Linked DNA regions of Caenorhabditis elegans. The protein of the gene in region 1 interacts with the protein of each later gene in a pairwise test. Each region holds a gene or a part of one and is shown in the gene's direction. Other genes may lie near its edges.

Region 1 (6,013 bases):
CAATCAGACTAAAACAGTACAATAAAAGTTCAAGTATCGCAACAATGTCTGAACGATTAGGAGATGAAAGTGACCGACAGAGATGGGAAGGAATGTTGACTTGTTTAAAATAGTTTAAAACAAGAAACAGGTTGCAGAAAGTTAGAAATACGGGGTCGAATAACACAATGAAAAGCAGAAAAAAGGTACTCGAAAAACGATAAAAAAAAGTACGAGAGGAAATAGGTGGGCACGGGGGAAAGTGGGAGGAAAGGCTAATTAAACGGAAAAGGGGCAAGCAAAAGTCGAAATATGGTTACGGTTGATGGAAAGAAGGATTCAATTACTACGTACAATTGACCAAATTGATAATTGACGAACTTTTAAAAATTTTGTTTACTTTTTGTTTATGTTGTATTGTGTTGAAAACTAAATTGTGCCGAATTATACGCATCATTTTGAAAAAGGTAACTCTCTGCCAATTTTAAGTTCTTGAAAGTCATCTATCATCTAATTTGAACGGTTTTATTTATGTAAGCCAAGTCAGTAAGAAAGTGAGTTTAAAAAATAGATAATACAAAAAATAAATATGAAAAATAAATACAAAACCAAGATTTTGGCGAGTTTGTGGTTTCTTACAATAAATTCTTGATAGATTAACAGATACCTTCAAAAACAAATCAATGGTTGAAATACTAATTTTTAACGAAACCAGGAATTCCTACAACTGTCAAAATTAAACTGGCACATGGGAAATTGAGTATCAAACAAGCAAATTAATGTTTTCTAGTCAAATCAGGGATCAAACACAAAGAATAAAAAATCTAAGGTTGTGTAACCAATGAAAAACCGAACACTGACCAAGTTTAGTCAAATTGAAAGTGGGTGAAAAATGACTGTCGACCGAAAACCAGTCAGTATGAAAAGTCTGTTGAAATTGTCGCCGACAACGGGGGTAACCACGACGATTTCGGGTTTCACACACCATCAAATATATCCTTTTGTGCGTCTCTCTTATGGAACAATATACAAGTTACGATATATTTTTTTTTGATTTTCTGTCTCTCTACTATCCAAATTTTATATTTATTGGGGAAAAATGTACAGTATAGATTGAAGCCTGGTGAGCAATCGGAAGCAAAATCATTTTCTTTGTTTTTTGTTTTTTTTTATTCGTCGTATCTATTGAAAAGAGGCAACATTGCGTCGGAAGCCCCAAAAAGGGACGGGAATGACAGTACAATTGAATTCTTCTCTTCAGAAATCTGAAATTCTTCAGAGAATTAGAAATACAATTAAAAGTTGTGTTCGAGGGGACAAGAACATAACCACACCCATCCGTTTTATTGAGGATCTGAATGTTCACGTCATAAAATGAAAAAAAAGGGGTTTGTTTATAGGTGTTCTCTATATCGGATTGACCCAAATCGGCCTACAAAAAGAGGAAATGAGATATGAAGTGGCAATAGATACAGTGATATGATAACAAGCATTACGATAAGCAACTCGTTTTTTTCATTGCAATGAAGCAACGAAAATTAGTGAACGCCTGTTCCGAAATCAGATGTACTTCTGGTGATAAAAAGAAATAAACAATCGATGTACTTTTGGTAACGTGTATTCTGTAATTCAGTTCACAAATGTTTGAAAAATTAATATTGTTGCCAGCGGTTCCGAGAGATGTATATCCTATAGTTAGTGTATACTATAGTTCCATTGAAGCTCGTAGTTCTGAAAAATTCGAAATAATTGGTTTCATAGGCACACAAGTAGGCACATTTTGCTTGAAAACCTTATTCTAACTTTTCCACGTATAACCGTTTCAAAACATGAGCTATTGAATCACATAGGTCTCAAATGCCAATCCGTTTGGCTCTCTTGGCTCTTTAGTAAGCAAAGCCGAGAAAAGGGACACCTGCAGTTTCCCAATTCGGAGAAAATGTTCAAAACGTGAACTCAAATCTGTTTGCCAGCGGTTCACAAATTTTCAAAACGTATCATGGTGAAAATATTTATTTCACCTTTTTAAAATCTAACTGAATTGTATCAACTATGGGCTTAATTGGATTATGGAATGTAAAACGTCGAGCCAATCGAGCTGTGAGAAAGTTTCAATTTGTGGTTAATAATATCAGACGGTTGGTTAGAGTGTGGATTTTGTTCAAACACATGAAAAATTTCAGAGAAAAATCAGGTCAAAACCGAGTTTTAAGATATTCTGAACGTTTGAAAAAATGGTTGTCCGTTTTATATCCTCCATGGAAAAAGGAAAAAGATGATGGGATTTATGACAATTTATTCGAAGATGGAACAAGGTTTTTGGAATTATTTTGAGAAAAAAGAAAATCTTAAAATTATTTTTCCAGAGCTAATTCTATTGTACTTCTATTCCGAAACATCCTAATGATTGAATTATTTGGAATAGTTATGTATTTTCTGTTGTCGTTCAAATATTCACAATACCCGGAGTTGTAAGTAGATCATATCCTAAATCTAAAGTTAAATATTTTCAATATAGTATTGGAACTTCCATATCCACAATTATCCACGTTTTTCTGATTTTCACTTTGATATTTCCAAAAGTAAGTACTTCAGGATTTTTATGTGGAATTAATAAAATATTTCGTTTCAGATGATGACGTACTTTATGATTTCTATCCACGTCATGTTGACTACAAAAATCAAAAACATAATTTTAATTCTTCTTGTCACAATGGCTTTTGAAGTTTTATCAATTCATCTATTCACGGGAACATCTCAAACTAATTTCAGGGTCCTGCAATGAATGTTATTGGAAATATTCATCAAGTAGCTTCTGGTGTTGCCTGCGTTCAAATTGATGTTATGAGTTCAAGAAATGATGTGGAAGGGAATGTAATGGATAAAGGAGCTATGCTTGTTTCTCGGTTTCGTGCACTTCTTCAAAATGTATCTGGTCCAATGAATAAGGTCAAGAAAATGCTATTGGTTCTAGATGAAAAGATGACAAAGTAAGTTGCAATTGGGATACCCAAAATGTCAAATTCTTGTAATTTGATTAAATTGATATTGTTTCAATTAAGATTTGTGGACATCATGAGGCGACATTATCGAGTTATAGCCAACTTGTCAAATCAATGTCGAAATATGCTCAAAACTCCCTATACAAAATGTCTTGATATTTTCGACGACGCATATTTTTATTGTAAGGGGAAAGCTCGATTTTTTGGAAGCCACGGCGATGCTTGTGAAATGATTCAGAAAACTGCAAAGGTATTCAATCAGTCAACATATCAATCCTATTATAAAACATTAAGATTTGCCATCAAGCAAAGGGTTTCTCAACGGAAGTATGTTCTTTACCTTCTATCATTGGAAAAGGAGTTAAAGGAGCAGCTGTACCATTTTATGCAGCTTACTTTCAAGCAATTGAATTCGCGGTGAAAAAGATTTTCTACGTACACATTGAAGCAGCAAAATGGGCACTGAAGAAAGTGAATCCAGTGATAGAAGAGATAAAAAAGGCGAAAAACATTCGAGCTGAATACCAGTCATCTGATGATGGTAAACCAAATGCTGCAGATGATACAACTGCAAACTTGAGAGCAAGTATAAAGAAAAGTTTGATGGGAATTGTGAATGTATACATACGGATTATCAATATAATTTCATTTATTCTTCGATATTGTATCATGCCAGGATTGCTCATATGGCCGTTCATCTATGTGAGTTTAAATAAGTAATATGTTAACATACAAAATTTTGAACTGATATTTTTCAGACACTTCGGTTCATGTATAACTACAACTATAATGACGACTTTAAAAACCGTTTTCTCACAAAAGAATTTACAAAAATTGATCAAGATTGTGCATTTCGCGGAGCTCGTAAAGTCATGCCATTAATGGCAAATGAATCAAAGCAGGTAGGTTTCTCTGGTTCATTATCATTCTAAAAATCTTAGACACCGTTTAGTATGTCAGTCGAGGTCAGTGGAAAATGACAGAACAAGAGCGACCTAAATTTCGATTAGATATTTTCATCACAATTGTCAGTTGTGTCACTCCTTTCTTTATGTGTATGCTTGATTATGGTATATTTACGGTAATTAAATGAATAAAATTATATTGACTTCAAATCTATAGATTCAAAGTTTCAGACTCTATCAACTGTTCATACTTTAATGAACCGAACAAATATCGATACTCCTGCTCATTATGAATTGAAAGTTGCTGGAAATAGTTCAATGTCAGATGTGATGAATGAATTTCTCGATGTTTTCAGTCCATTTACTAAAAGTATTCGAGACCGTGAAAATCGTTGGAGACGATGTTTCAACGAACCAAATCCTCCAAACTATACAGAAAATATGGTGATGTTTCTCATGTTTATCGCTGCACTTTTTCTTTGTCGATTGAAGGTTTGAAGAGTTGAGGAGTACTGTTAAGATATATTTAATTTTTGAAGGCATATTTTGGAAGGCAAACACTTGTATTGGCAGATTACTTCTTTCCGAATCGAGTAAGAATTCGTGCATTGAGCCTTTATAACAAAATTTTACAAAGTCGACGAAATTTGCTGACAGAAATGTTAGGAAATAATAAGGTAAATGGGAATTTCCGGTCTCGAGTTGACTGAAATATTTTCAATTCCTCGATATTCACAACTTAAACATTGAAAAAAAGTTAGCCACTACAGTACTACTTACTACATCACTACGTCACCGGTACCGTATTTTTTGAGTGATAAATCCCGATTTTGCGAATTGATAGTATTCAAAAACAGATATATTTTTTCCTGAATTTGACATTCCGATTTGATTTAAAAGTAATTTTTGCACTCGTAACATTGATAATTGACAGAAAGATGTAGTGGGTGGTGAAGATGTCATAATTCGGAGAACAATGCAAAGTCGTGGATTCGTGTGCTCCGATTGTGTAAAATGTGAAAAGTACGATATGAAAGTGTCTGATCAAGAGTTAGTTTTGTTTATTGATGATCAAGAAAACAAAGCTATTAATTCAGAAATGTGCGAGTGTGTGTTCATTGTAGTGCTTTTTACTGTATCAACTGTTTCTCAGTGACTCTTTTCTGTGTGAAATGCGAGGAGGAAATGCAATGTATTAACGGGATTGAGCTATACTATGAGGAGAGTAACGCAATTATTGATGACTCAGGTAAAATTAACTTTATTTAAACATTAATAATCATCTATTCCAGATATTTCATTGAGTGAACGCGAAGACGACGAACCTGACAAAGAACCAACAGAAGGAACAACCACCACCGCAGTAACCACTGTCGTCTGAATGATGTTTGAAAAATTAACTTTCCCGCCGTTGGGGAAAGCGCGCTCCAATGACAATGTACTTTTCGAGTTCAAATTTATTTGCCTTTTGGCGCAGTTTTCGAAATGATTTCGTTCATTTATTAGTTTTCTTATTATTTCCTCGAACTTCAATGATTATTTTCCAATTGAATTCAAATAAATTATCATTTAAACTTCATTTTATTTGTTATTTATGGGTTTTCCCGTTTGGAACTCTAATTCACTGATTTATTGTTTCAGAAATGATGGGTGATAGTCATTCTTCATTCACAACAACGACAGATGAACATCTATATAATCAATTTTCTCCGGGAAGAAGGTATCAATTAAGTAAAGATTCATACAATGAGAATAATTATAGAAAGAACGATTTTCCCGCTGCAAGCAGTTCATCATCTTCACCAAACTTGCGAAGGTCCCCAAACCGCACAGTCAGTTCACCGCGTGTTCAACAGAAGCCAATCACAATTTTCGATCAAATCGTGGATTGGTTTCAAGCGGAAATCAGTGTTAGAAAGAGATTAGCTGGTGCTGCATGCGGATATCTGTCCACCATTTTCTTCATTGTCACAGTATCCATTTTGAAACTCACGATTTGGGCCCCTTTCAGCTCAGTTCAAGGTTGACGTTTATTTATTTTTCTATGATTGGACATTTCTCTTTTTCAGACTCCCTGGCGTGGTGGATTTATCCAAACGCATGGGCCTCAATCATTTTCGTTGGTAT
Region 2 (2,665 bases), on another chromosome or scaffold:
GAGAGAAATCAGTGAAATGCAAACATGCTCCAATGACAAACTAACAAACGACACTCCGATTTCGCGTCAAAAATTTTTTCAATTAAAAAATTTATTTCGTTTTTAGGTTAATTCTTTTATTTACACTCATTGCAAAAATATTATCAAGAATGGAGGAAGAAACAATTAAAGTCGAAAATCTGGATGATTCAATTGTATGTTTTCCTTTTAAATTCCAAAAATATTCCATATTTTAGACTATCGATCGAAATCCTGTGCCACTTGCTTTCTGTGCTCGACCAACACTTCCCGCAAAAATTGGAATGAAGACAGAAGATGGAATCGTCGATCAACTTTTGGATCTTGTTGATCCTATCACCGTTGTGAATCCTACTGAAATTCGCCAGGCTCCATCATTGAAAAGCTTCGGATGCGACACTGAAAGTGAATTTGAGTTTTCTGGAGATGATAGCGATTTCGAAAATATCAACGATTTACGAGCCGGTGCACTTGATTCTGATGAAGAGTTTGACAGGCTAGTAAAGTTTTCCGCAAAGATTATTGAGAAGACACACAAGTCAGAGTACCCGGATGAAAATGGAAAAAAGCAGCGGAAGCCAAAAAAGTCACAAAAAACGGTAAGGTTTCATTATTTTGAAATGTTTTTTCGAATGATTAGATTTCTAGCGTAATGTTCACGAGTATGATGATATGCCACCACTCGAGAATCTCAGTATTGAATGTAAAGGACAATTGCTGGAATTTGGTTTTGTAAGCAAAGTCGTGGATTGTCAAGGTAAATTGTCAAAAATGTCAACCTTATATAAAATGTTAATTGAATTGGTATTTCAGTTGTTATCATTTCAACATGCACAGAAGTTCTCGACTTCGATTCATTTCTTTTCGATCAAAAAGGAAATGCGTTGGGACAAATTTATGACATTTTTGGACAAGTCAAAAATCCACAATACGTTATTCGATTCAATTCTTGTGAAGAGGTGAAGCTTTTAGTAGACAAATAAAATATATAACAGAAGTTTTATAGGCATCGATGATACCCATTGACATGAAAGTATATTATGCTCCTACAGAAGAACAATTTTCCAAAACTCCATTCAAAGGACTTAATCTTGCTGCAGCAAATAGGGATGCTATTAAATCCCTAAATCGTCGCATTGATCATCAAGAAGCTGTTGCAAAAGCTGGTGAAACGATGGCTCAGGTTGGCATCGGTAGTGACGTGGAGTTCAGTGATGATGAAGCGGAGAAAGAATTTAAACGCACCACATGTAAGATATAATTGAAATTTACTTTCAAATTCTAGTAATTTTCAGATACCCAACCAGCTAGTCAAATGTCAAGAGGATTCGATTCGAACAGAGGGCGAAAACGAGATCGCCGCGGAGGACAAAAAGTTAGATTTTCTGCTCAGAATCCACCTGCCAGATCGGATAATCTTGGGCCCATCCCTCAGCAGCCATCTGCGCCACCGCCACCTGCTCGTCCAGCACAATCAACCGAATCAAATCCATATGCCGAATTCGGATGTCATTCTGGATTCAACGGACGTTTTGGAATTTAATTTTTTGTTAAAATATCGTTACACATTGAATACTTTGTTGGATATATTGTAACATTTTTTCGTTGTTATTGTTGCACTTTTGGAATTGACGCGTGAATAAACTTCATTTTTACATTTTAAAATCATAAATTGCTATAATATCAAAATGACGAATAGTCATACTCACAACGGAAACCGAATTTGGTTCATCTGCAGCTGGGAAAATGGTCCAATTTGTTATGGAATGGCTCTGTGAGTTCAAATTCTTCGCAGCTGTGAGCTATGCTCTGGAAATCGTATTTTTTCAGTGATCTTATTGGGGGAATTTCTTTGATTGCTTTCTCAGTTCTTCTCGTCGGAGTCATATTTTTCGGATGGTTTGGAATATTTCCAAAAGTTATTCGAGTAAGCTTCACGAGTAATTCTAATTTTTGTATGTTTTCTTTCAGCGTAAACTTCACGATTGAATTTTATATTTTTATTATAACGTTCAGAAGAAGGCGAGGCTCTATTACTCTATTTTAATAAAATATTTGAATTGACTAAAGTTTAATAAATATTATGCAGTGCTATGAAAAACTTGTGGGTAAAGTGGAATAGAGAAAAAAAGAGAAAAGAAAGGAACGGCAGGAAGAAGCTGGCTGAAAATTAGAATATCTAAAAAAAACAATTAATAAAAAAAGATTAACTGGAAGAAGGAAAGCAGCGGGTGGGTTGGAAAAGTGAAAAAAGGAAAGGCAGTATAATAGGAAAACAAGGATTTTTGAAACATAGAAAACAAGGAAAGCAAAAAAAGAAAACAACTGGAAATAAGGAAAGATTTAAAGCTCAGGCTATAATGAGTATGTAATTGAACTGAACAAATTAAAAAATAAAAACAAAAAAGATTCTCCTGCGATAAGACTAAATTACTTAGCGAAGTTAGGACAGGAGCAAACATCGATCAGGAAAATCAAACTTCAGCGATTCGCAAAATTGATGGATATACATATCGAGAAATTTTAAACAGTTTCCGCTTCTTTTTTGTTCAGAAACTTTGTTCAAGAATGTCTAAATTGCCCCCATATATCTCACAATTCAGCGAATTTCAATATTTGATTAGAAAAAAAGGCGCAGTCAAAAGTA
Region 3 (5,611 bases), on another chromosome or scaffold:
TGTGAGGTTACAATTGTGGTACTGTAGGGTTACTGTAGGGTTGCGGTAGGGGTTCTGTAGTGATACTGTAGAATTGCTGTCGGCTTACTATAGTGTTGCTGTAGTGTTGCTGTAGGGTTACGGTACAGATACTGTAGGGGTACTGTAGTAATAATTTAGGATAACTCGAGGGGTTCCTTAGTGGTACTGTAGTGATAATTTAGTAGTACTGTAGGCCTATTGTAGCGTTACTGTAAGGGTATCATAGTGGTACTTACTCGATGGAGTACTGTAGCATTACTGTAGGGTTACGGTAGCGTTTCTGTAGGGGAGCTGTAGTGGTACTGTATGGTTACTGTAAGAGTACTTTAGGGTTACTGTAGGGATGATGTTGGGGTACTGTAGGACTACTGTAGGAGTAGTGGGACTGAGACGATAAATTCTTAATTTTCTTCAAGTGGTTTGGTCAGTCACCCATACATCCCGAGAAGTCTATTCCATTTCCACCTGTTTCAATGTAAAAAACTCAATTTAAACATTCAAAACTTTATTTTTTCTACTCAAAAATCAATCAATCAGCTTTCTGTGGCGACTTTGCAGGCGAAGCACTAGTTGGCGTACGTGCTTGTGGTGGACGGATGCGTGGAAGAACCGGTGCACGGGGGACCAGGTCTCGACGCGAAATCACACTGCAGGCTTCGATAAGGACTGAAAAATGAATATTGTAGGTTTAAGGTAGGCACATGGTAAATAAAATTTCGAATCACTAAAAAATTGTATCAGTAACCAGACAACAAACAAGAGATTATCAACGGATTTAGTACTGAAGCCTCTGAAAAAGAAAATAGAAAAATCCGGTTGTTTTGCTACCAAAAAAATACGTTCAGGATAATTTTTTCGCTGAAAAAAGGGGAGAATTATCGATTTTCTCTACCTGCAACAATTCCGGTAGACGGTTTCCATTGATTTTCCTCCAAAAACAGGAATTTCATATTTTTATCAGTTTTGCAAGTGATCGCCGGCGGCGAGAACGGGAATTTCGGCGGAATTGCGACGGTTACGATGTACTCGGTGTAGGGCGGTCCGTACTGAAATTTGATTATTGATTTTTTTTTTGCGTGGCGCCGCCGCTCTCACCGTCTTTAGAGTCACGTCAAAGCAAGTTTTCGACGGCGGCGGCTCGAATCTCACCGCGTAGAACATTCCAGAACCCTCGACAGCCGACGCCTGGAAAAGAATTAATATTTAGAAAATACATCGATTTTTGTTCTGAAAGTAGGGCTCCCATGAGGTCGCCGCATGAATAGTGTGGCGCGGAACCGCAAACATGTCGGCCGCTACCAAATAGCCGCTCCACACACACAGCGGCGCGCGGTGTCGGCGTAAGGCCGGCCGGATAGGGCCAGAGAGGGGCCGGCGTGAAGCCCGAATTTTGCGCCTCACTCAGTTGGGAGCCCTGGGAGCCCCATTTGAAACATTTTTAACTTTCCCAGAAATTCTCGACAATTTTCTGAAAACCTGTCGGTTTTTTTATTGATTTTTCCCCAAAAATCAATAAACTAGAACGCTAACTCACCACGACGCTATCGATCCGTTTTTCGCAAACTTTTTGCATTATTACTTTGAAATTTTCGTGAAATAAATGTTATTCTGGTGTTGGTTGTGTTGTTTTTTGCCGTCGACAGTGAGTTTTCACGTTTTATCGATTTTTTCGAGCATTATCGATTTATCCCGAAAAATCAATAAACTGGAACGTCACGATGCTATCGATTCGTTTTACGCAATCTTTTTGCATTATTGCTCTGAAATTTTCGTAAAATGAATGTGATTCTGGTGTTGGTTGTGTTGTTTTTCGCCGGCGACTGTGAGTTTTTCATGTTTTATCGATTTTTTTCGGAAAAATTATCGATTTTTTTAATTTTCAGGTGCAAAAATCAGAAAAATTATTGATTTTTTGGAGAAAGATGCTCCGAATGATATTGAAAAAACACCCAACTATAATGAAGAAAGTCTGGCGGTGAAAAGGGTAAATTATCGATTTTTGCGATGGGGCGCGTTTGCATTTTTATGGAATTTAAATATTTTTAGAACAAAAACTTCAATCCTTGTCTGGAAAATCCGAAAATTTGCTCAAATCGGGGAAAATGCTTGCATGAAAATGGAAAGTGAGAGTTTTTGCCAACTTTTCAGATTAAAAAGGCAATATTTTCAGCTTCTATTGCATTTGCCCGGTCACACATTACGGAAAAACGTGTGAACACGTGTCAGATCAAACGAATTGCGAGAAACACTTGTGTCAGAATAATTCTACGTGTGTCAGGTTGGAAAACATTCGTTTTTTTCTGTGAATTTTTATGGCAACTGTTTCGGTGTACACAAGTTGTGTCTATGCCCTCCAGCCGTTAGTCGCCGGCGGAGAGATGGCCGAGCGGTCCAAGGCGCTGGTTTAAGGCACCAGTCCCTTCGGGGGCGTGGGTTCGAATCCCACTCTCTTCAGTTCTTTTTTTCCCTTTTTTAAATTATCATTACCTCTGTTTCAGCATCAAAAGCCTGCGGACTATTGTCAATACAGTTCTTTTGAGACAAATTCGTGTCCAAAGAAAAGTAAACGGATCCAAAGCAGCTTTAACAAATGAAGAATTGGCTGAAATCGATTTAGAAGTGAATTACGAGTGTATATGCCAAAAGGGGTACTTTGGCGGGTTATGCGATGAGTCTGAAGCAGATCGAACTTGCCAAGAAGTGTATTGTTTGGGCAGAGGCAAGGGAGCAATTAATGCGACTGGAAAATGCGAGTGTGAATGTGAAAATCAATTCTTTGGAGATAGAGTGAGCGTTTACAACTTCAGAATTTCTTCTGAAATATGTTTAAATTCCAGTGTGAACAAATATCAGCTTGCTTCGACACTCAATGTGATAATGGTGGAATATGTGAAGATGTGGTAGATTGGAAGGTATTTTTTTCAAGATTCGAGAAAATATTTTATCTAAACATAGAAAAACGTAAGCCCAATGCGGGGCTCGAACCCGCGACAACCAGATTAAGAGTCTGGTGCTCTACCGACTGAGCTAACCGGGCGGCGTTAACTCTTACAACAGAGGGTCTAGAGAAATGTTGGGTAACAACGAGACTTGATAGACAGAACAAAAAGTGACCTTCAAATTACACACCTTCTATTTCAGACCAAAACCGTCACTGCCACCTGTAAATGTCCTTCTGCGATTGAACTTATTGGTGGTACTGTAACAGGTGGGTAAAAAAAAAAAAAAAATATTTCAAATTCTGTGAATTTCAGAAAAATTTCAGGTGAAAACTGCGAAACCCTTCAAATTCCTTCAACAGCCCCCAAAGAATTTATTCCATGTGCCGAGGGAAGTAATTCGACGATGTTTTTTAAGAAATTCATCGCAAAGTAGGAAAAGTTTATAGAATGGTTGTAAAACTCACATTTTCAGTATTTCCTTGGAATATATGGATGACATTTCGGAGTTGGAAGCAATTAAAAATGACTACAATGATGGGAAGAATGTCAATGGGACGATGACTGATGGATGGTGTAGAAATGATGGGAAGTGTGTACCTGAAGTTGTTCGAGGTAGGAAAATTCAATTACCACAATTCTCCCGGTAACTCAACTTTTTTCTAACACCTTTTTGTCAGTACGTTCGCCGCCCGGTTAGCTCAGTCGGTAGAGCACCAGACTCTTAATCTGGTTGTCGCGGGTTCGAGCCCCGCATTGGGCTTACGTTTTTGTAAAAATTTTTAACACCGCGCTAAAACGTATGCACAAAATTCTGGCCTATGCCTGCCTTGTTCCATTCTCATACCTAATGTTTCAGTGAACAGCTCCCGAGCCTACTACATCTATCGCTGCGAATGTACCAATCCTCTCACCGACGGTTACTATTGTGAGTACAAACGCCATGACTCTTGCTCTTTGACTCGAGAGGAGGTGGCTCGCGGGGACCGGTGGGACGAAAAGTGCACGGATTCTCAACACGGAGCATGTGTGGATATTAGTGGAGTGGCTCATTGTGTGTTAGTGCACCTACCTGCCTGCCTTTTACCTAGTAGCCCTAATTTCAGATGCAAGCCGGACTACACCGGCGAGAAATGCGAAATCTTCGACCCGTGTGCTCGGCAACCTTGCAAGCACGGTGACTGTATCCCGGTAGGCACATCGAGGCCTCTGAAAATCAGCGAAAAAATTTCAGATACCGAACACTGCCGACGTGGCATTCGGCACAAGTCGCTATCAATGCTTATGCCCATTATCCGCAAAGTTGAACCCGGAAAGCCAAGCCTGCATGGAAATTAACGAGAAGAAGTGTGCTCCCGGAGCCTGTGGCAACGGACGGTGTGTTCCTTGTGAGAGGTAAGAGATTGCCTTTGTACCTACCTACCTACCTACCTACTTTAATATTTTCAGCGATGCCGATGACCTGATGCCTCTCTGTAACGACAATGACAATCGCCAGGGATTCCGATGCCTCTGCGAAGCCGGGTACCTTCCACCGTTTTGCAAAGTCCATACAAACCCCTGCTACCAAAACCTGTGCCAGAACAGTGCCACATGCCATATCGACCCAAAGCAGCGGAGTTATGAGTAGGGCTACAAACTACAGATACTGCAAACTACAGTCGTTCTTTTCAGCTGTCAATGCGTCAATGGGACACGTGGCTCGTTGTGTGAGAATGTGGATGACTCGTGTGATGCGTTTGGTAAGTTAGAAGCTTCATGTTTACCTGCCTGCCTACCGCTAAGCCTACAGGAAACAAAATCTGCGTCCATGGAACCTGTATCAATGATGAGTACTTTCACCGGGGCTTCTCGTGTGAGTGTGACGACGGATTTGAGGGTCTCGACTGCAACGTGGAAATCGCCTGGTCCAGTGTGATGACCAATCGGCTTATGGTAAATTACTCAAATAGTTTAAAATATAATATTTCTGCGTGTTTCAGAAGAACTATGAATTTTCGTTGCCACTGGTTGCGTGCTTCGTCTCGCTGGCTATTCTTCTGCCAGTGATTGTGATCAGTAGACGGCGTCAGGGAAGAGTAGAAGAGGCGAAGAAAACGTCAGAAGTGAAAACTGAGAATCCATAAAGACATTTTTTTTTAATTAATTGTTATTTAACATCTATAAAGCTTTGCAAATATCAGAAAGTTTTGCTCAGGAAATGATCGGTGACACACGGATTCATATTTACGGCGCATTGCGTGTCGCGTCGCGGCTCAATTTTAGCTGTAAAACTAAATGTATTTGTCCGTGTCGAATACACGACTGTCCCACGCGTTGTCCGGCGGGCGATTGCCAATGTAGCGCTCAAATTTCAATGAGGCACGTGTAGTCAGAAAGTCCCATTTCGCTTTGATCTACGAAAAATGCGAGAGGTGAGACGCAGGCATCTCAACTGATTTCGCATGGTTAAGAGTGTGCTGACATCACAATTTGTCTGGAAAAAAATTCCCGCATTTTTTGTAGATCAAACCGCAATGAGACTTTCTGACGCCACGTGATGAGGAAGGCCAGAACCCCGTGGTGCTAGTCCCTCTCTATTTCTCACTATTAGGGGGTCTGCATGGTAGGCAGGCATTGATTCAGGTGGCAGGTCTATCCTGATACCTACC
Region 4 (4,329 bases), on another chromosome or scaffold:
AATCAATGGAAAACCAATTCATCATCATGATTGTGTGGATGATGGGGAATTTGGAGCAAGTTCGAAAATGTTAGAGCTCATGGATCGAATGAAAGCGGATAATGTGATGGTAATAGCTTTTTTTCCGCGAGAAAATCCGCTGAAAATTGAGCAAAAACGATGAATTTCGGGTTTTGAGTGAGGCTCAGGGGGTTTTGTAGTTTGTAGTCTCTGAGTCTCACCCAATTTTTGAATTTTCTATTAGTTTTTTTGTAAAAAAGTGAAATTCGTTAATTTTTTTGCGTTTCTTGAACATTTTCAATTTGAAACTCGAAAAAATTCGAATTTTAGTTTCAAACACACCCTGAAATTCCGTTTTTGGTGAGGCTGAGCCGGGGTTTGTAGTTTGTAGTCTCTGAGCCTCACCCAAATTTCCATAGTTATTTTAACGGTTTTTTCCTGTAAAAATAAACTTTTCCACTGGTTTTTCCAAAAATATTGAGAAATCTTGTTATTTTTTTGGGTTTCTTTTTAAAAAAATTCGAATTTTAGTTCAAAAAACACTCAAAAACCGATAAAATTCAGCTTTTTGTAGTTTGTAGTCTCTTAGCCTCACCATTTTTTTTTAGTTTTTTAACAGATTTTTTCTGTAAAAATATAGTGAAATTCGTTATTTTTTGCGTTTCGTGAACATTTTCAATGTGTAACTCAAAAAATTCGAATTTTATTTTGAAAAACACCCTAAAATCAAGTTTTGAGTGAGGCTCGGAGCATTTTGTAGTTTGTAGTCTCTCAGCCTCACCCATTTTTCGTAGCTTTTCAACGGATTTTAGCGGTAAAATAGGATTTTCTACTAGTTTTTTTTTCGCAAAAAAGTAAAATTTATTAATTTTTCTGAGTTTCGTAATTATTTTCAATTTGAAACTCGAAAAAATTCGAATTTTAGTTTCAAACACACCCTGAAATTCCATTTTTGGTGAGGCTGAGCCGGGGTTTGTAGTTTGTAGTCTCTGAGCCTCACCCAAATTTCCATAGTTATTTTAACGGTTTTTTCCTGTAAAAATAGAATTTTCTACAAATTTTTTAAATCAAAAATTGTGAAATCCGAATTTTTTTATGGGTTTTTAAAAAAATTCAAATTCTAGTTCAAAAAATACTCAAAAACCGATAAAATTCAGCTTTTTGTAGTTTGTAGTATCTGAACCTCACCGAAATTCCAAAATTTCTCAAAAAAAATTTGTTTTTTTTTGGTTTGTAGTTTGTAGTCAAGAAACTATAGTTTGTAGTGGTCCTGAGCCTTTTTCCAGAATATATTTTTGTAGTTTGTAGTCGCACGTGGAGTCAGAAAGTCCCATTTCGTTTTGATCTTCGAAAAATGCGGGAGAAGAGACGCAGACATCTCATCTCATTTCGTATGGTTAAGAGCGTGCTGACGTCACAATTTTTCTGGAAAAATATCCCCGCATTTTTCGTAGATCAAACCGCAATGAGACAGCCTGACACCACTTGTAGTCGAAAATAGCAAGATTGTTCAAATTCATTAGAAAAAATGTTTTTGTAAGAAAAAAGATTGATTTTTGCATATTAAAAATCTTAATGCTTAAAAAACTGAAAATTTTCCAATTTTGTAGTTTGTAGTCTCTGAGCCTCAACCAATTTCTTCTTTCAGGTCGTCGTTTCACGTTGGTACGGTGGAATTCATCTTGGACCCGATCGTTTTCGACATATTAATAATTTAACTCGGCAAATTTTAAGTGATAATAATTATGGACCGAAGAAGTCTTAAAATTCTATATTTTTTAACGTGATAATTTTTTTTTCTTCAATTTTAAACTCCCTACGTGTGCTTTTAATATTATTAATCCAACAACTCTTTCAAATTGTAATCATTTTCATTTATTTTTCAAAACATTGGTCACTTTATACTAATAAATAGTTTTTCAATCAAATATGCGTTTTCTGATGGAGTTGGGCTCACCGAACGATGCAAACTACACTGTATTCTGCTGTTCTCATGTCGTTTTGGCTTTTGCCATTTTTATGGTAATTTTTGGAAGTGTTCTGGGATAATTTTTGGAATTTTGGAATTAAAAAATTTTTTGAAAATTTTGGGAAAATTTTTTTTTTTTTCAAAAATTTCAAAACGTTTTTTTCACTTTTTTTTTTGAATTTCAAATATTTTCCAGATCCTTGACTTTACCCTAACTCTATTCTCATTTGGCTTAGAGCTTTTCCTCATTTTCGTAAGTTTTTCTCCTGAAAGTTCCCCTCAAAATCCCCAATTTTCCTGCAGTTCCACGACACTTTTGACCAATTTTGGGCGATTTTTCACGGAATTTCACTGGTTACTTCAATTTCCGCAGTTTTGGCGATTTGTGTGAGTATATTTGGCGGAAAATTTGAGAAAATCTGAAATTTTTGACTTAAATTTTAGGAAATTTTTTTTCTTAATCTGAAATTTTGAAGCTGTTTTCCCAAAAAAATCAATAAAAAAGCCTACGATTTCCATAATTACCAAAAAAAAAATCCAAAATTTCCTCATTTACACTCAAAAAAACCGTAAAACCCCGAGATTGAAGCTCAGACTACAAACTACAATGTTGGTTGAGGCTGAGCGCAGAATTGTAGTTTGTAGTCTGAGCCTCACCCAACATAATTATATTTCAGGATAATCCAGTGGCAATTATTGTTTATGGGTGTCGTGTTATGTTGATTTTGGGATTCGTTACAACTCGGTTCATGTGAGTTTGACTACAAACTACAAACTACAAACTACAAACTACAAACTACAAACTACAAAATGCAAACTACAAAATGCAAACTACAAAGTACAAACTACAAACTACAACTGGGAGGAACAAGCTTGCTGAGACTACAAACCACAATTTGGGGTTGCAACTCAAAAAGTTGTAGTCTGTAGTTAGTTTGTAGTTTGTAGTTTGTAGTTTGTAGCTTGTAGTTTGTAGTGTGCACTCTGTTTTTTGTAGTTTGTAACTTGCAAGTCATATTAGAAACATATTAGCAATTTTCCAAAGTTTCAAAATTCTCACCTAATTTCGCAATACCGATATCAGTACAATAAGTCTTATGGAAGTTGTAGTTTGTAGTTTATAGTTTGTAGTTTGTAGTTTGTAGTTTGTAGCCTGCAAGTGATGTTCGAGACGTATTGGCAATTTTCCAAAATTTCAAATTTCTTACCTAATTTCTCTAAACCAATACTAGTGCAATACGTGTTAGGGAAATAGTAGTTTGTAGTTTGTAGTCTGTAGTATGTAGTTTGTAGTTTGAATTTTGTAGCTTGAAAGTCATATTCGAGACATATTGAGGCTTTTCCAAAATTTCAAATTTCTCACCTAATTTCACAATACCGATATCAGTGAAATACGTGTTAAGGAAATTGTAGTTTGTAGTTTCTAGTGTGTAGTTTGTAGTTTGTAGCCCTTCCAACCCATTTCCAAACTTCAGAATCTCAATGCGTGATTTCACATCAAAAGAAGAGCCAACTCTGAGTGAATTGTTGAATTTATTCCAAATCGTGATTGTGATAATGTACACAATTGGCATTTTCCTAGTGATTCGTCTATTTACCTATTCAGCTGGAAGATATCGTGGATATTATGACGTGGATGATGATTTGAAAGACGAAATTCGAAAGTATGTTTTTAGGGATTTTGAAAAATTGAAAAAAATACGTTTTTTTCAGAAAATTCCTGGAGTATGAGGCGGATTTGGATGAGAAATCAGAGAAGAAGGATTAATTTTTTTAAACTTTTGAATGATTTTTAATAAAATGGCTGAGTAGTTTGGGTTTTCAACCGGAATTCAAATTTTCCTTCAATTTTTTTCTTTCTGCTCATTGAACAGGTCTCATAAGCTCGAGAAACTTCTGGAATGGATAATTTTTTGACTCTGTCGAAAAAGTGTCAATATTAATGCAAATTATGAAAATTTATTCTCAGAAACAATTACAATCATGTATTATAAACGTTTCTGCCATTCACCAAGCAGTCGGTACAACTTTTTTTTACCCAACACGATTCCGGACTTCTTGCTCCAGCGCAGTTTGCAATCCAACCATCACTTCTCACATCTTTATCACAAGTTTCCGCACATTTTGGTCTTTCAGCTTTTGGACGTAGTTCAGAACACGCAATACGGCAATAATCGTACCGATAGGTATAGGCATTACAGGCCGAGAGGCACAACAGCAGGAATAGTACGATTTTGGTTATCATTATGATGAAGTAGAATATGGTGATATTTAAAATTTTAAAAACGTGGAATTTGAGTTATTCGTTTTTAAGACAATTGTTATGCTACTTAGGCCCCGTCAACTGTCAATGTAAACAA

What was found.
Region 2: the proteins of spe-42 (region 1) and spe-29 interact in a two-hybrid assay, tested with the Caenorhabditis elegans proteins (one study listed by BioGRID).
Region 3: the proteins of spe-42 (region 1) and spe-9 interact in a two-hybrid assay, tested with the Caenorhabditis elegans proteins (one study listed by BioGRID).
Region 4: the proteins of spe-42 (region 1) and spe-38 interact in a two-hybrid assay, tested with the Caenorhabditis elegans proteins (one study listed by BioGRID).

Annotation. Positions count from the first base shown.
Region 1 is NC_003283.11:11,732,987-11,738,999, reverse strand, and holds spe-42 (Dendritic cell-specific transmembrane protein-like domain-containing protein), read left to right. Parts: upstream 1-2,003; 5' UTR 2,004-2,031; coding exon 2,032-2,117; intron 2,118-2,162; coding exon 2,163-2,294; intron 2,295-2,345; coding exon 2,346-2,450; intron 2,451-2,497; coding exon 2,498-2,561; intron 2,562-2,611; coding exon 2,612-2,704; intron 2,705-2,751; coding exon 2,752-2,969; intron 2,970-3,041; coding exon 3,042-3,231; intron 3,232-3,275; coding exon 3,276-3,683; intron 3,684-3,739; coding exon 3,740-3,883; intron 3,884-3,933; coding exon 3,934-4,062; intron 4,063-4,117; coding exon 4,118-4,378; intron 4,379-4,425; coding exon 4,426-4,563; intron 4,564-4,820; coding exon 4,821-4,936; intron 4,937-4,983; coding exon 4,984-5,135; intron 5,136-5,178; coding exon 5,179-5,267; 3' UTR 5,268-5,460; downstream 5,461-6,013. Other genes in the region: npp-22 (Nucleoporin ndc-1), read left to right, coding at 5,530-5,606, 5,649-5,908, 5,956-6,013.
Region 2 is NC_003282.8:9,932,204-9,934,868, forward strand, and holds spe-29 (uncharacterized protein), read left to right. Parts: upstream 1-1,676; 5' UTR 1,677-1,706; coding exon 1,707-1,792; intron 1,793-1,848; coding exon 1,849-1,945; intron 1,946-1,989; coding exon 1,990-2,007; 3' UTR 2,008-2,119; downstream 2,120-2,665. Other genes in the region: F25H8.2 (H/ACA ribonucleoprotein complex non-core subunit NAF1), read left to right, coding at 150-194, 237-617, 667-775, 832-977, 1,025-1,268, 1,314-1,561.
Region 3 is NC_003279.8:11,582,234-11,587,844, reverse strand, and holds spe-9 (Sperm transmembrane protein 9), read left to right. Parts: upstream 1-1,775; 5' UTR 1,776-1,797; coding exon 1,798-1,843; intron 1,844-1,904; coding exon 1,905-2,005; intron 2,006-2,067; coding exon 2,068-2,144; intron 2,145-2,191; coding exon 2,192-2,299; intron 2,300-2,388; exon of another isoform or gene 2,389-2,487; intron 2,488-2,519; coding exon 2,520-2,808; intron 2,809-2,858; coding exon 2,859-2,933; intron 2,934-2,985; exon of another isoform or gene 2,986-3,058; intron 3,059-3,162; coding exon 3,163-3,229; intron 3,230-3,286; coding exon 3,287-3,392; intron 3,393-3,435; coding exon 3,436-3,575; intron 3,576-3,644; exon of another isoform or gene 3,645-3,734; intron 3,735-3,819; coding exon 3,820-4,018; intron 4,019-4,066; coding exon 4,067-4,151; intron 4,152-4,194; coding exon 4,195-4,355; intron 4,356-4,409; coding exon 4,410-4,586; intron 4,587-4,634; coding exon 4,635-4,702; intron 4,703-4,752; coding exon 4,753-4,895; intron 4,896-4,942; coding exon 4,943-5,086; 3' UTR 5,087-5,102; and 1 more. Other genes in the region: C17D12.5 (UBC core domain-containing protein), read right to left, coding at 551-687, 914-1,067, 1,117-1,206, 1,556-1,594. UniProt on the Caenorhabditis elegans protein: Required for fertilization. May be required for cell adhesion and/or function as a signaling molecule.
Region 4 is NC_003279.8:10,963,926-10,968,254, reverse strand, and holds spe-38 (uncharacterized protein), read left to right. Parts: upstream 1-1,872; 5' UTR 1,873-1,941; coding exon 1,942-2,022; intron 2,023-2,165; coding exon 2,166-2,222; intron 2,223-2,272; coding exon 2,273-2,356; intron 2,357-2,646; coding exon 2,647-2,720; intron 2,721-3,444; coding exon 3,445-3,633; intron 3,634-3,682; coding exon 3,683-3,737; 3' UTR 3,738-3,783; downstream 3,784-4,329. Other genes in the region: impt-1 (Protein IMPACT homolog), read left to right, coding at 1-109, 1,649-1,765.